3 linked regions of the Alligator mississippiensis genome follow. The protein of the gene in region 2 purifies or fractionates together with the protein of the main gene of each other region. This does not show direct contact. Links are inferred from orthologs where the notes say so. Each region holds a gene or a part of one and is shown on either strand. Other genes may lie near its edges.

What was found.
Region 1: the proteins of AKT1 (region 2) and TUBB purify together in Homo sapiens (affinity purification with mass spectrometry, with the first as the bait; 3 studies listed by BioGRID). This does not show direct contact. The link is inferred for Alligator mississippiensis from reciprocal best matches to the Homo sapiens genes AKT1 and TUBB.
Region 3: the proteins of AKT1 (region 2) and ILK purify together in Homo sapiens (affinity purification with western blotting; 3 studies listed by BioGRID). This does not show direct contact. The link is inferred for Alligator mississippiensis from reciprocal best matches to the Homo sapiens genes AKT1 and ILK.

What each region holds. Positions count from the first base shown.
Region 1 is NC_081834.1:57,380,159-57,383,898, forward strand, and holds the start of TUBB (tubulin beta chain), read right to left. Parts: upstream 2,464-3,740; 5' UTR 2,337-2,463; coding exon 2,280-2,336; intron 1-2,279. UniProt on the Homo sapiens protein: Tubulin is the major constituent of microtubules, a cylinder consisting of laterally associated linear protofilaments composed of alpha- and beta-tubulin heterodimers.
Region 2 is NC_081825.1:289,116,907-289,120,646, forward strand, and holds the start of AKT1 (RAC-alpha serine/threonine-protein kinase), read right to left. Parts: upstream 2,412-3,740; 5' UTR 2,241-2,411; intron 1-2,240. UniProt on the Homo sapiens protein: AKT1 is one of 3 closely related serine/threonine-protein kinases (AKT1, AKT2 and AKT3) called the AKT kinase, and which regulate many processes including metabolism, proliferation, cell survival, growth and angiogenesis.
Region 3 is NC_081824.1:483,478,033-483,481,772, reverse strand, and holds the start of ILK (integrin-linked protein kinase), read right to left. Parts: upstream 2,670-3,740; coding exon 2,581-2,669; intron 1,994-2,580; coding exon 1,828-1,993; intron 1,609-1,827; coding exon 1,513-1,608; intron 1,435-1,512; coding exon 1,338-1,434; intron 1,203-1,337; coding exon 1,119-1,202; intron 960-1,118; coding exon 874-959; intron 641-873; coding exon 531-640; intron 375-530; coding exon 247-374; intron 148-246; coding exon 26-147; intron 1-25. Other genes in the region: RRP8 (ribosomal RNA-processing protein 8), read left to right, coding at 3,090-3,740. UniProt on the Homo sapiens protein: Scaffold protein which mediates protein-protein interactions during a range of cellular events including focal adhesion assembly, cell adhesion and cell migration.

The sequences.
Region 1 (3,740 bases), on a different chromosome or scaffold from region 2:
CCTGGAATAGGGTTGGGGAGTTAGAAAATAAAAACAGAGAATCAGCTCATTTTGGGAGGAGAGGGAAGGAAGCAGCCTTGTCTGTAGCCATCTCCAGCTCAAAATAACCCCCCACCACCCCCCAGCCTGGCTCTTGAGGTCTTTATAAGGGAATCCAGCTCCAAAAAAAAAAACAAAAAAAAGAAAAGAAAAAAAAACCAAAAAAAAAGTCAAACTCCTATTTGGAAGGCAAGTAAGAAGTGGGAGAGAAAAGCCCTGATTCAGGCAAGAATGAGGCAGCTCCCAGCAGTTTCCGGCCACAAAGATGATCTGGACCCGCCCAGGACATCTGCAATTGCATTTTAAAAGCCAGAGCCAGAAAGGAAGGGGGAGGGGAAATAATCCCAGAGGCCTCCGGCTGGGGATGACCGCATTCACCAAGATGTCTGGCTGGCTCACCACCTCCGCCTCCTTCCCCCAACAGCAGCCATTACAGAGAGGCACAAAGAAAGTAGTCTCAGCCCTTGAGATCCCCTAGTCACTGGAAAGGGAAAGGAGGGGATCTGATCTAGCTGGGGAGATCCTGGCACCAGGGGAGCTGCACCCACTACATCCCCTTATAACTAGAGGGTGGAATGGTTCCTGATCTGGGCACTGCAAGCTGGGGGAAGGAAGCAAACCAAATCTCAGACCTGGTCCCCAAACAGATCCCATTGAAAGGATCCAGCCTTGAGCAAGGAGATCCCTGCAGAGCCCAGCCCAGGGGAGAGGGGAGCCACCCACTTACCAGATCCCCCTTATACCTAGGAGGTGGAGAAGGAGAATGGATCCCAAATGCAGGTACTGGGAGACTGGGGCAGAGCTGTGGTATCAACCCTGAGTCCCTTGAATGGGCAAAGACTCCAGCTTACAGATCCCTGCAGACTCTGGCCCAAGGGGAAGGGGGGGGCTAGATCCCCTTATAACTAGGAGGTGGAGGAGCAGATTCCCCTCTGGGTGCTGGGAGACAGGTGAAAATAGTCAGTCCAAGCTTGGGGACCAGCCAGATCCCATTGAAAGGGGAAAGGATCCAGCTGGAAGACCCCTGCAGGTAGAGGGGGAGAGAACCCGCCTTTGCAGCCATGTGCTTGTGCAGACAAAAGAGGGTGGGGGAAGCAGCAAATCCTTGGCAGCAGGGAGTGCCAGAGGCTGGGGGCTGCCCCCACCCCGGATCCACCAGGAGCAGAGCGATACCCCTCCCACACACACCTTTTTTGGCAACTTGGTTTCCAAGCCGCCTCCTCCCGCGGCTACAGTGTGACAGGTCGGCACCGCGGACACTATGTAGCAAACCCGGATCGAGCAGAACGACCCTGCGGGGCGGGTGGGGAGGGGAAGGCAGGTACCGCGAGCAGCCCGCCGCCCCTTTTAATGCGGATTAAGCCGGCCCCGGAGGGAGGCAAAGCCGAGGCACGGGGCTGAGGCCAGGGCCAAGTTCACGGCCGGGGCCAAGTTCGCGGGGGGGGGGGGAATCCACCAGCGAGACGGGGCGGACCGGAGCCGGCGAGGAGGGGCTGAAACTGAACAGCCCAGAAAGCAAGAGGGGCTGAAATGGACCACTCCCGCGCCCCCACAAAGGGGGAGGGGCTGAAATTGATCGGGTCCAAAACGAACGTGGGGGAAGGAGACTGAAATTGACCCCCCCACTCCCCGCAAAAAAGGGGGTGGGGCTGAAATGGACCAAGTTTCTAGTACCACCCAGGAGCGGGCCCGATCCCCGCCGAGCTACGCCCCCTCCCGATGGAGAGAAGCCCCCTCCCCAGATCGGGCTGCCGCCGCCCCGCCCCAGATCAGGGCGCTTCTCTCCCGCCGGCGCGTCCCCAGCAGGAAGCCTCGTCCCGCTCCGAGCCCCCCCGCCCCGCCCCGCCGGGGGCGGCTCCTGGTTCAAATCGCGTTCCCTCCCCCCGCACGCGCGGGTTTGGCGCGCAGCAGAGTCCTCCCCTCCCCCCGCGGCCGGACCGCCCCACCCCGCCACGCGCTCCCGCCGGCTGCTCCGCGGGCCGGGTCTCCCCGCGCCGCCATCAGAGGGGAGTCTCTAAGGCTGGGGGGGAGAGGGGGACCCGGACCCCCAGACACCCCCCCGCCCCCTCTCTCGTTTTAAACGGGTTTCCCACCCCCGATCTCCCGGGCGAGTTAAAGGAATTTGTCCAATTTAAAAAGCGCCAAATCACCCCCCTATAGGCACCATCCGGCCCTACGAGGCGCGATCCCCTATCCCCGGAGGATCTGCACAGGTCCGAGCAAACCGGACCCCGCCTCACCTTGGCGCCGATCTGGTTACCGCATTGGCCGGCTTGGATGTGCACAATTTCCCTCATCTTGCAGGACCTTTTTGCCCCCTTTTTGACGGTGCGACGCGCCCCTTTAAGGGTAGAACGCTGCGGAGCCCAAGTTTCCTCCTTCCGAACGCGGCGGCGTCCAACGTTCTAAAGGGCTGGTAAAAGGCGGGGGCTGATATAGACAAAGCTTTTATAGCCTGGCCGGCGGCCAGGCCCCTGATTGGTCGGCTGGGATCAGCCGGGCGGGGTCTGATTGGCCAGAAGGGGATCGCACACGTGATAGCGGGCGGGAGTGGGGAGCCAGCAGGGCAGGGTGGGGTCCGTGCAAAGGCTGCTGGGAGTTGTAGTCACCTTTTGTTCTGGAGGGGTGGGTGGGGTGCTTCTGGCAATACTGAACCCCAGAGGTTTTCCCAGGCTGGGGAGGGAACCAGCAGTCCGGGTCCCTACCCCGCCCCCACAGAGAACCAAGGGTCTGGGCCCCGACCCCGCCCCCGAGAACCAGGGGTCCGGGCCCCTACCCCGGGTTCCCAGCCCAGCCCCCCGTCGGGGACAGAAGCAGCGGGAAGGAAGGAAGCGCCTGGGGAAGGGAGCAGAGGCAGGGCCTGGGAAGGGAGAGGGAACCCAGGCGCCCGGGATTGGCCCCGCCCCCACTGCCCGCTGATTGGGGCTGGCAGTGTCGCAGAGCTGGTGCAGGGTGCGGCTGGGCGGGGAGGAGCTGGCGGCCGGCCTGGGCTCCCGGGGAGGGGGCGGGGCCGGCTCATTCCTAGATCGCTCATCACCGCCCTGTTGGCGACATGTTGTCCCCAGGGTCCAGCCCCAGGCAGGTCCCGCTTGCCCCGGACGCCTGGGGTCTCCGGGACGGAGTGGGGGCTGGGGGGGGGGGCGGACGCCTGGGTTCGTCGGACACAGCCCTGAGTCTCCCCCAGCTGAGTTCCAAGCAGTCCCACCCCTGGGGACCGGCCGCAGCCCTGCTAGAGTCGGAGGCAGAGAGGGATGGGCGGGCACCCGCTGCCCTTTCACCAAGGAACCCAGGGGTGCTGGCTGCCACCGGCTGCATCCCCCACCCGCAAAGGACCCAGGTGTCCGGCCTCCCAGCCTCCTTTACCCCACTACCCTGCCACCTCCCAGCCCCCCCTTACCCCACTGCCCTGACCCCCCCTCCCAGCCACCTTTACCCCACCGCCCTGACAGACCTCCTCCTCTCCCAGAGCCGGAGGGGGAGCCGGGCATCCCTGCTGCAATGTGTTTGCTGCACCCCTTCCCAGCTGGGGCAGAGAACTCGGCTCCCAGCCTCTCCCTCATGACTACAACCAGGTGCGCCCAATTCAGGCTGGGATTTGGCACTGGAGTTGAGTGTAGGAGCTGCGAGCTTGCAAAAACAGTGTCATGGCTGTCCCACCCCAGGCAGGTCCTGCTCCCCTCCGGACACTGGCATCCTCTTCT
Region 2 (3,740 bases):
CAAGCTGAACAAAAATGGATGACTGTTACCCTCATCTATGCAAATCTAGGAATGGTTCCCAGTGACGCAGGGCATCTGAGATGACTACAGTCTGACTTATCTAACCTGTGAGAGAATGCATATGACAGTGTTGTCAAGAACTGGAGATAAACAATTAGCCCTTTCTTTTTTATTAATTTTATAAATTTGTTTCTATACCACCTTATTCTATACTATATCATCACCTACACTCACCAGTCAGAAACGCTGTAAGTACAATAAATAATGGATGGCATATTAATCTTGTACCCCTGCATATGTTATTCTATTAATATGGGGGACAGCTAGTAAGAACATGCATAAAAATGGTGAAAATTCAATAAACTATTAATTTTAAACATGCATCCCTTCCTTATGTACTAGCACAATAAAACCCGTCTTAAAGAAGCCATGCAAATGAATCTGCCAACAGAAGGCGGAGTGAAGCTGTATTTGGGACAGCCTTTTAGGGCTGGGTGCTCTTTTTTTAACATCTTTGTATCTTTCTAATGCACCCCTCCCTTTTGCCTTCCAAGATGGTACAAAACTAAAAGATGCACCTGATCTTCCTTTCTTCCTTAGGCTGAGATCTTACTTTTCTCTTAGTCTCTATACATATTCTGCACAGCCAGGTTGTGCTCATAGAAAAGCAAAGCAGGAGGGGAAACACCATTATTTCTCCACAACTCTTGAGTTGAAACTATAGCCTAATGGACGGTGCAGATCTAACGGGTATCACCCCACCCTCATGTGAGGCAGTGTGTGGCAGGGTAGACGCAGACAACGTGAGCTTTATCCCTTCTGCCCCTGCCCGGCTTTGTGTGTTGGAGCATCTGTGAAACTATGACATGAAACACATCTCCTACATGCTTGACACAAAATCAGCCACCACTCCTGTACAGAACCAGTGATACCAATGCACTCAAAGCCCCTGTTCTCTTAACAGGTTGGGGGGGGGGGGGCAGGTCAGATTTGACCCAAAGCCCTCAAGCTGCAGGAGCTCACTTTCAAGAAAGCCTAAAATGGACCACCAGTCTGTTTCAAAATCTTACTTCAGGTTTTAAAAATGTAACAGTGGCCCACCAGTTTTGTGTGGTTAGTGATGCTTCTTGCTAGTGCAGAAGATGCTCCGCTTTGAACACCACCACATAAAACCCAGACTGTCATTACTATACATGTGGCTGATCACAAGGTTTGGGAAGCTTGTCCTGATATTACAAAGGGAAGTTGACAGCAATATAAACTGTCTCTTTTTTTTTTTTTTCTTCCACACTGCAAACTTAACCTAGGCTTCCACATTGCAATTAGCAACTCCTAGTGCTCTCCAATGCATAGTGAAAAACAGATAGGATGTTAATTGTGTTCAGGTGTGGGACCAGGGTTACAAGTTCAGCTCTCTACCTTGCAACACAGCGGGGACCAACCCTGGAGGAAGCATTCGGAAACTGCGGGAAAGGGAGAGAATTGCTCGATTCTCTCTGAAATTCATCAGGATAGACAGGACGCTCTTTGCTTATACCTCTCTGACAAGAAATACGCCTCTTTACACTCAAGGGAGAAAAAATGGGGGGGCCACAGGGCGCCGTTACTCGAACCCCGCCAGCTGGCAGGTGCGCGCTGCCCCGTGATACCCCTACCAAAGTTTTGCTCCGTCTCTCGTGAGGCTCAAGCAAGCCCTAAATTATTTAAATTCGCAGTAAAAGCCAGAGGCCCGGGAGGGGGGGAGGGGGGGAGGGACAGCGAGCTTCCCAAACACGCTCCAACCTGGCGCGTCGCGACTGCTGCTGCCCACACGCGCGCGGGCATTTGGGCACAACAGCCGCGCGCCCAACCTACTCGAAGAAAAGCACAAGTTAGTGGCACAGAAATCTCGAAACCCCCCGCCCGCCCGCCCGCCCGCGGGGGCCGACAGCTCGCCCCCTCCCCGAGCCCCTGGGGAAACCAGAGCAAATTCGGAAAGGACGCCTGGCGCCCTGGGGGGCCGGGGGCAGCCGCAACAGGCCACCAAGTGGCACCGGCTCCACGTGGGGGCGAGGCAGGGGGTCTCTGGAGGGGGCGAGGCCGCCTGCCCTGGGAGCTGGGGGAGGCCGGGAGGCGCCTCCCGCCCCTCAGAGCCCGGCCCGGGCCGCAGGGGAGGGCGAGCCGGGCTCCCGCGGGAGGGCAGGACAGGGCAGGGCAGGGCCCAGGCGGGCGGGCGGCCCCGCACAGGCCCCGGCACTCACCCGGGCAGCGGCTCCTCGGCGCGGGCCTAGCTGGGCGGCTGCAGCCTCCTGCTCCGGCCGCAAACCATCCCCGGGCGGCGGCGGCGGCTGGCGCTGGGGCTCAGCCCATGGGGCCCGGGCGGGCGCTGCTGCTGCTGCCGCTGCCCGGCGGCTCCTTCCCCGCCTCCCTTCGCCCGCCCGCCCGCCCGCCCGCCTTCCCTCCCGGGCCGGGCCGGGCTCGGCGCCCCCTCGCGCAGCCCGTCTGCTCCCAGCGCTGCCGCCGGGTCCTACCGCCGCCCGCCTGTCCGCCCGCCCGCTCGCCCACCCTGCGCGGGGGCAGCCTGCGGGTCTGGAGGAGGCGAAGCAGCCCGGAGCCACCCCGGGCCCTGCCGCAGGGAGGCTGCAAAGCCTGCTCCTGGAGCCTGGAGGGGTGGGGGGAGCAGTGTTTCATCCCCAGGGTTTCACACTAGGCCTCTGCCCCCTTACATGTATTGCGTGTGTCCGGCTTTCGTTTGACCACGGTGGCCCCCCTGCTCGGTGGGGCGCGAGGAAGCCAGCCCCGCCGCGTGGGCAGGTGTTTGCGCGCGACTAGACCAGGCCGTGAGGTCGGCGCCGGTCGTGGGGCTCGAGGAGCGGTGTGGGACACACGCCGAGGTCGGGCCCACGCCACCTCCGTGCGCCGCATCGGCCTTGCGCCACCCCAGCCGGCCCTGCACGGTCCAAGTAGCCCGGGGGCTCCCCACTGGTTTGGAAATTTGTCATTAAGAGAGCAGCAATGACCGGCCGCTGCTTCCCTACTGCCCAATATTTGGACCCGTGGATTTGGCCCTCAGGCTGGGGCTTGAGCGCGCCGGGCTGCACCGTAAAGTTATCAGCAGTGGTTCTCAGCCCTTTGTTCGATTCAAGGCCCCACTCGGAAAATGACCTTGCGCTCATTTTATGACTACGGGAATAATAACAGAGCATTTTTTCTCTTGCGAAGACCTCGGAAAAGCCTCCGCAGGTCAGCGCGGTTTTAACGCTCTAGATTCCTATTTGAAATCTCTGACCGGGTCCAGACATGCAGGGACATGCGGGCTGCGGTGCCACAAACTGGATGAGGCAAACGTTAAAAAGTGCCCTGTGCTGCAGTGCAGGGTCAACATTTACTGCTGGGATTTCCCGGTAGCAGAAAAACCCCAAATGGAACAAAAAGCAGTGCAACACACATACGACAAGCACGCACAGAGGCCAGGCCACCTAGAGCAATACTCTGACTACCGCCTAGGCCTCGGTACTGCCCAACCTGTACCCCTGCTGCTCCAGGCCACCAGGTAAGACTAGTGCTGGCCCTACTGGTACTGAAGAGCCAGGGGGAGCTGGGCAAGGGTAGTCTGCTCATTGCAGGACAACTTATCCCACAACAAAGCGCACATGCAGGGGTGTACATTATGGCAATTTATGCCACTGCAAGTGCATGCCCCTGCATGTCTGGACTTGGCCTCTAGGCTTAACTTGTGAATCAAGTGTAGGCGTTTGCAC
Region 3 (3,740 bases), on a different chromosome or scaffold from region 2:
CCGGGTGGGCCTGCAGTGCACTCACCATGACGCTGCGGCTGTTGAGGTGGTGCCGGGGGATGAGGGGCTCCAGCGTGTGCAGGAAGGCCATGCCCCGCGCAATGTCCAGCGCAAACTTCACAGCCTGCATCTGGTCCACCACGAAGTCTGCGGGGGGAGACGGGCGGTGTCGGTGCTGGGGGGAGGACCGGGGATGGGACCGCCTCCCACCCACCGCTGCGAGCCCCTCCCCATGCCCACACTCACTCGTGCCCTCGTGCAGCACGTTGTAGAGGGATCCGTAGGGCATCCAGTGTGTGATGATGATGGGGTGGGGCGCGGGTGGCGCCTGGCAGGCACCCAGCACGGGCAGCACGTTGGGGTGTGAGAAGATCCTGCAAGAGGCTGGGCCTGAGCACCACAGACTCCCCCCGGTCCATCCCCACCACCCCGCCCCTCACACTCCAGCCTTGGCCCAGCACCGCCGCCTGCACCCCTGCCCAGAGATGTCCCCCCACCCCTCCATCCCGCGGCCAGGCCCTCGGCCCCACCGGAGCTTGGGGTACTCCTCGTTGAAGTCGCGGCTCTTCCGAGTCGTCCAGTCCCGAATCTTCAGCACCTTGATGACGATGTCATTGCCCTGCCAGCGCCCCCTCCACAGCTGCTGAGACACAGACAGGGTCAGCGGGGGCGGATCACGGGGTCCGGGGACCCTCTGCTCTCCCCACCCTGCCCCCAGGGCTGTGACCCCCTGTGCAGGCGGGAGGAGGGCACGCACGGACTAGGGGATGAGCCCCAGACTGCAGGAGTGATGGTAGCAGAGTTGAGGCCTGTGCCCCAGCCAGGGGCTGGGCAGCCCCCAGGGCTTGATGCCCTGGCCCCTGCCATGCACACCTCTCCAGAGTGGTTCTCGTTGAGTTTGTGGCCCAGGTTCAGCTGCTTGAAGTCGATGCCGGCCAGTTTGTTCAGGGTCCCATTTCCTGCAAGCACAGAGGGGGAGTCTGGGAAGAGCTGCCCAACTCCCCCCCCAAACTTCCCCACCTCTGCAGCTGTGGGGGGCTGCCAGTGGGCGACCCCAAGAAGCCCCCTGCAAACAGAGAAGTGCCCCCAACCCACCCCTGTGGTGGCAGCAAGCTTACGTGGCCGGGTGCGGGTTGTGCCCTTCCAGAAGGTGTCCTTGTAGGGGATCTTGGTCAGGCTCTGGCCCAGCTTCTCAGCCCGCTCTGCGGAGAGATGTGCGCTGGGTGCCGGGGTCTGCGGGAGAGACCGGGCACGGCCAGGGCAGAGGGTGTGTGCCTGGGGCAGGACACGAGGGGGTGGCGGGCTGCGGCCCAGGACAGGGCGGGGGCAACATTTACCTTTGAGAGCCTCTCGGAGCGGGACCTTGGCCTTGTCCAGGGGCATCTCGCCGTACTTGTTGGAGATGCTGACCAGGGCCCCGCTGCTCACCAGGTCCTGTGGGTAGGGGGAGGGTGAGACCCCGGCCCTGCAGCTTAGTGCCCCCAGCCCCCCCGCCGGGCCGGCAGGGCTCACCTCGGCCACCTGCTCGTGGCCCCAGAAGCAGGCGTAGTGCAGCGGCGTGTTCCCGTGCTCGTTCACCGCGTTGATGTCGGCCTTGAACTGGATCAGCTGCGGGAGAAGCCGGGGACCTCAGTGTGGGGGGCGCTGGGTCCCAGTTCCCTGCTCCCAGTGACGGGGCACATGGGGTCCTGGGAGCAAAGGGGGAGGGGCAGGGCGCTGACAGGTCCTGGGGCATTGTGGGGGCCCCAGCGTGGGCACTGGGGGGATTGTGGGGTGCTGAGGAGTGCTCTGTGGGGCGAGGGGTGCTGCGGGGGTGCCGGTCGGTACCTTCTGCACGATGTCGCGGTGGCCGTGGCTGGCCGCCAGGTGCAGGGGGGTGTCGTCGCCCCGGTTCATGACGTTGATGCGCGCCCCCCGCATGATCAGCATGTCGACCACGTTGGAGCGGCCCTCGCGGCAGGCCCAGTGCAGCGGGCTGAAGCCGTGGTCATCCCTGGGGGAGCGCGCAGGGGGGTGAGTCCTGCACCCTGCGCGGAGGCTGGTGGCGGCTGGAGCCGGACCCCAGGCACAACGGGGGCATCCCGGGCAGGGGCAGGCCGACGGGACAGCGCCAGGGGCACCGCGGCCTCAGCCTGGGGCACACGGGGCAGGGGGGACTGGGGCAGAGGTGTGCGCCTGCAGCCCCCGGCCCCGTCGCAGGCGCTGGGGCTGCTCCGGAGGGCGCGGACAGGACCCCCCCTCCACGCTCCCTGTGCCGCCCGTGCGGGAGGAGGCGACGCCGGGCCTTAAAAGGAGACTGTGGCCGCGGCGAGGGGCTGCCCCTCCCCTCCTTCCGCCCAGCCCCAGCCCACCGCACCCTGTGCCCGGTCCCGCGCACGGCTCGGCCCGGCTCCGGCTCCGGCGCACCGACCGGACACGGGGTGCCGGCCGCAGCCCCCGGCCCGGGGGGCGCAGGGCAGAGCGGGGGGCTCGCGTCCCCTCCCCGCTCGCAGGAGCCTCGCGCCTCGGCGATGCGGTCACTTCCTGCTGCGGCCGGAGCGGCCCCGGCCCCGGGCTGCGGGCGGCCCCGCGCTCACCCACCCCTGGTTGAGGTCGTTCTCCGTGTTGTCCAGCCACAGGCGCACGGCCACGGCGTTGCCCTCGCGGCACTGCGTGAAGATGTCGTCCATCGCGGCTCCTGCGGGGGGGGGGGGGGTGTTTTAGGGCGGGCATCCCCGCGACCTCTGACCCCGCTGCCCCTGCTCCCATATGACCCCGGCCCCGGCCTCTCCCCGCACCCCTTGCTGGGCAGCGCGGGGGGGTCACGAGTGTCCGGTCTCGGTGTCGGTGTCGGTCTCAGCCGCCCCCGCCCCGGGTGATCCCGCTCCGGCCCCCGCGCCGCGCACCGGTCCCGCACCCGCCCCGCGCACCCCACCCCACCCCACCCCGTACCCCGCACGGGTCCCGCGGCGGCTCCGTCGCGTCGGGCTCGGGCTCGGGCGGCGGCTCCGGCTCCGGCTCCTGCTCCGCTCCGGCTCCGCCCCCGCAGCGGCCCCTGGCGGCGGCCCCGGGACCCGCGTCGCGCCCGCCCCGCCCGCCCGCCCGGGGCCATGTTCGCCGAGCCCGCCTGGGACCGCGATGCGGGGGGCGCCCCCGACCCCGCTCCCCGTCCCGCTCCCCGTCCCCGCCCCGCGCCCGCGCCCGCGCCCGCGCCCGGGCCCCGCCGCCTCCGCGCGCTGCTGCGGCGCCTGGAGGCCTCGGGCCGCTGCGACCGGGACGGGGACGGGGACGGGGACCGGGACGGGGGCAGCAGCTCCGGCTCCGAGCACGAGGCCGCCACGCGCCCCCGGCCCCGGCCCCGCGCTCGTGCTCCAAGCTGCCGGGAGCAGCAGCCGGAGCCGAAGCCCGAGCAGGAGCAGGAACAGGAGCCGGAGCCGGAGCCGCGGCTGAGCCGGCAGCAGTGGAGGAACCGGCAGAAGAACAAGCGGCGGCAGAAGAACAAGTTCAAGGCCCCGGGGGAAGCACAGCCAGACCCTGATCCGGAGTCACACCCGGAGCAGGAGCAGGAGCGGGTCTCGGGGCGCGCGGCGGCGCTGCGGGCCCGCATGGAGGCGCGGCTGGAGGCCGCCCGGTTCCGCTACCTGAACCAGCAGTTGCAGGCGGGCAGCAGCCGCCAGGCCGCCCGCCTGCTGCAGCGCGACCCCGAGGCCTTCGCCCTCTACCACCGCGGCTTCGCGCGGCAGGCGGCGCGCTGGCCCGAG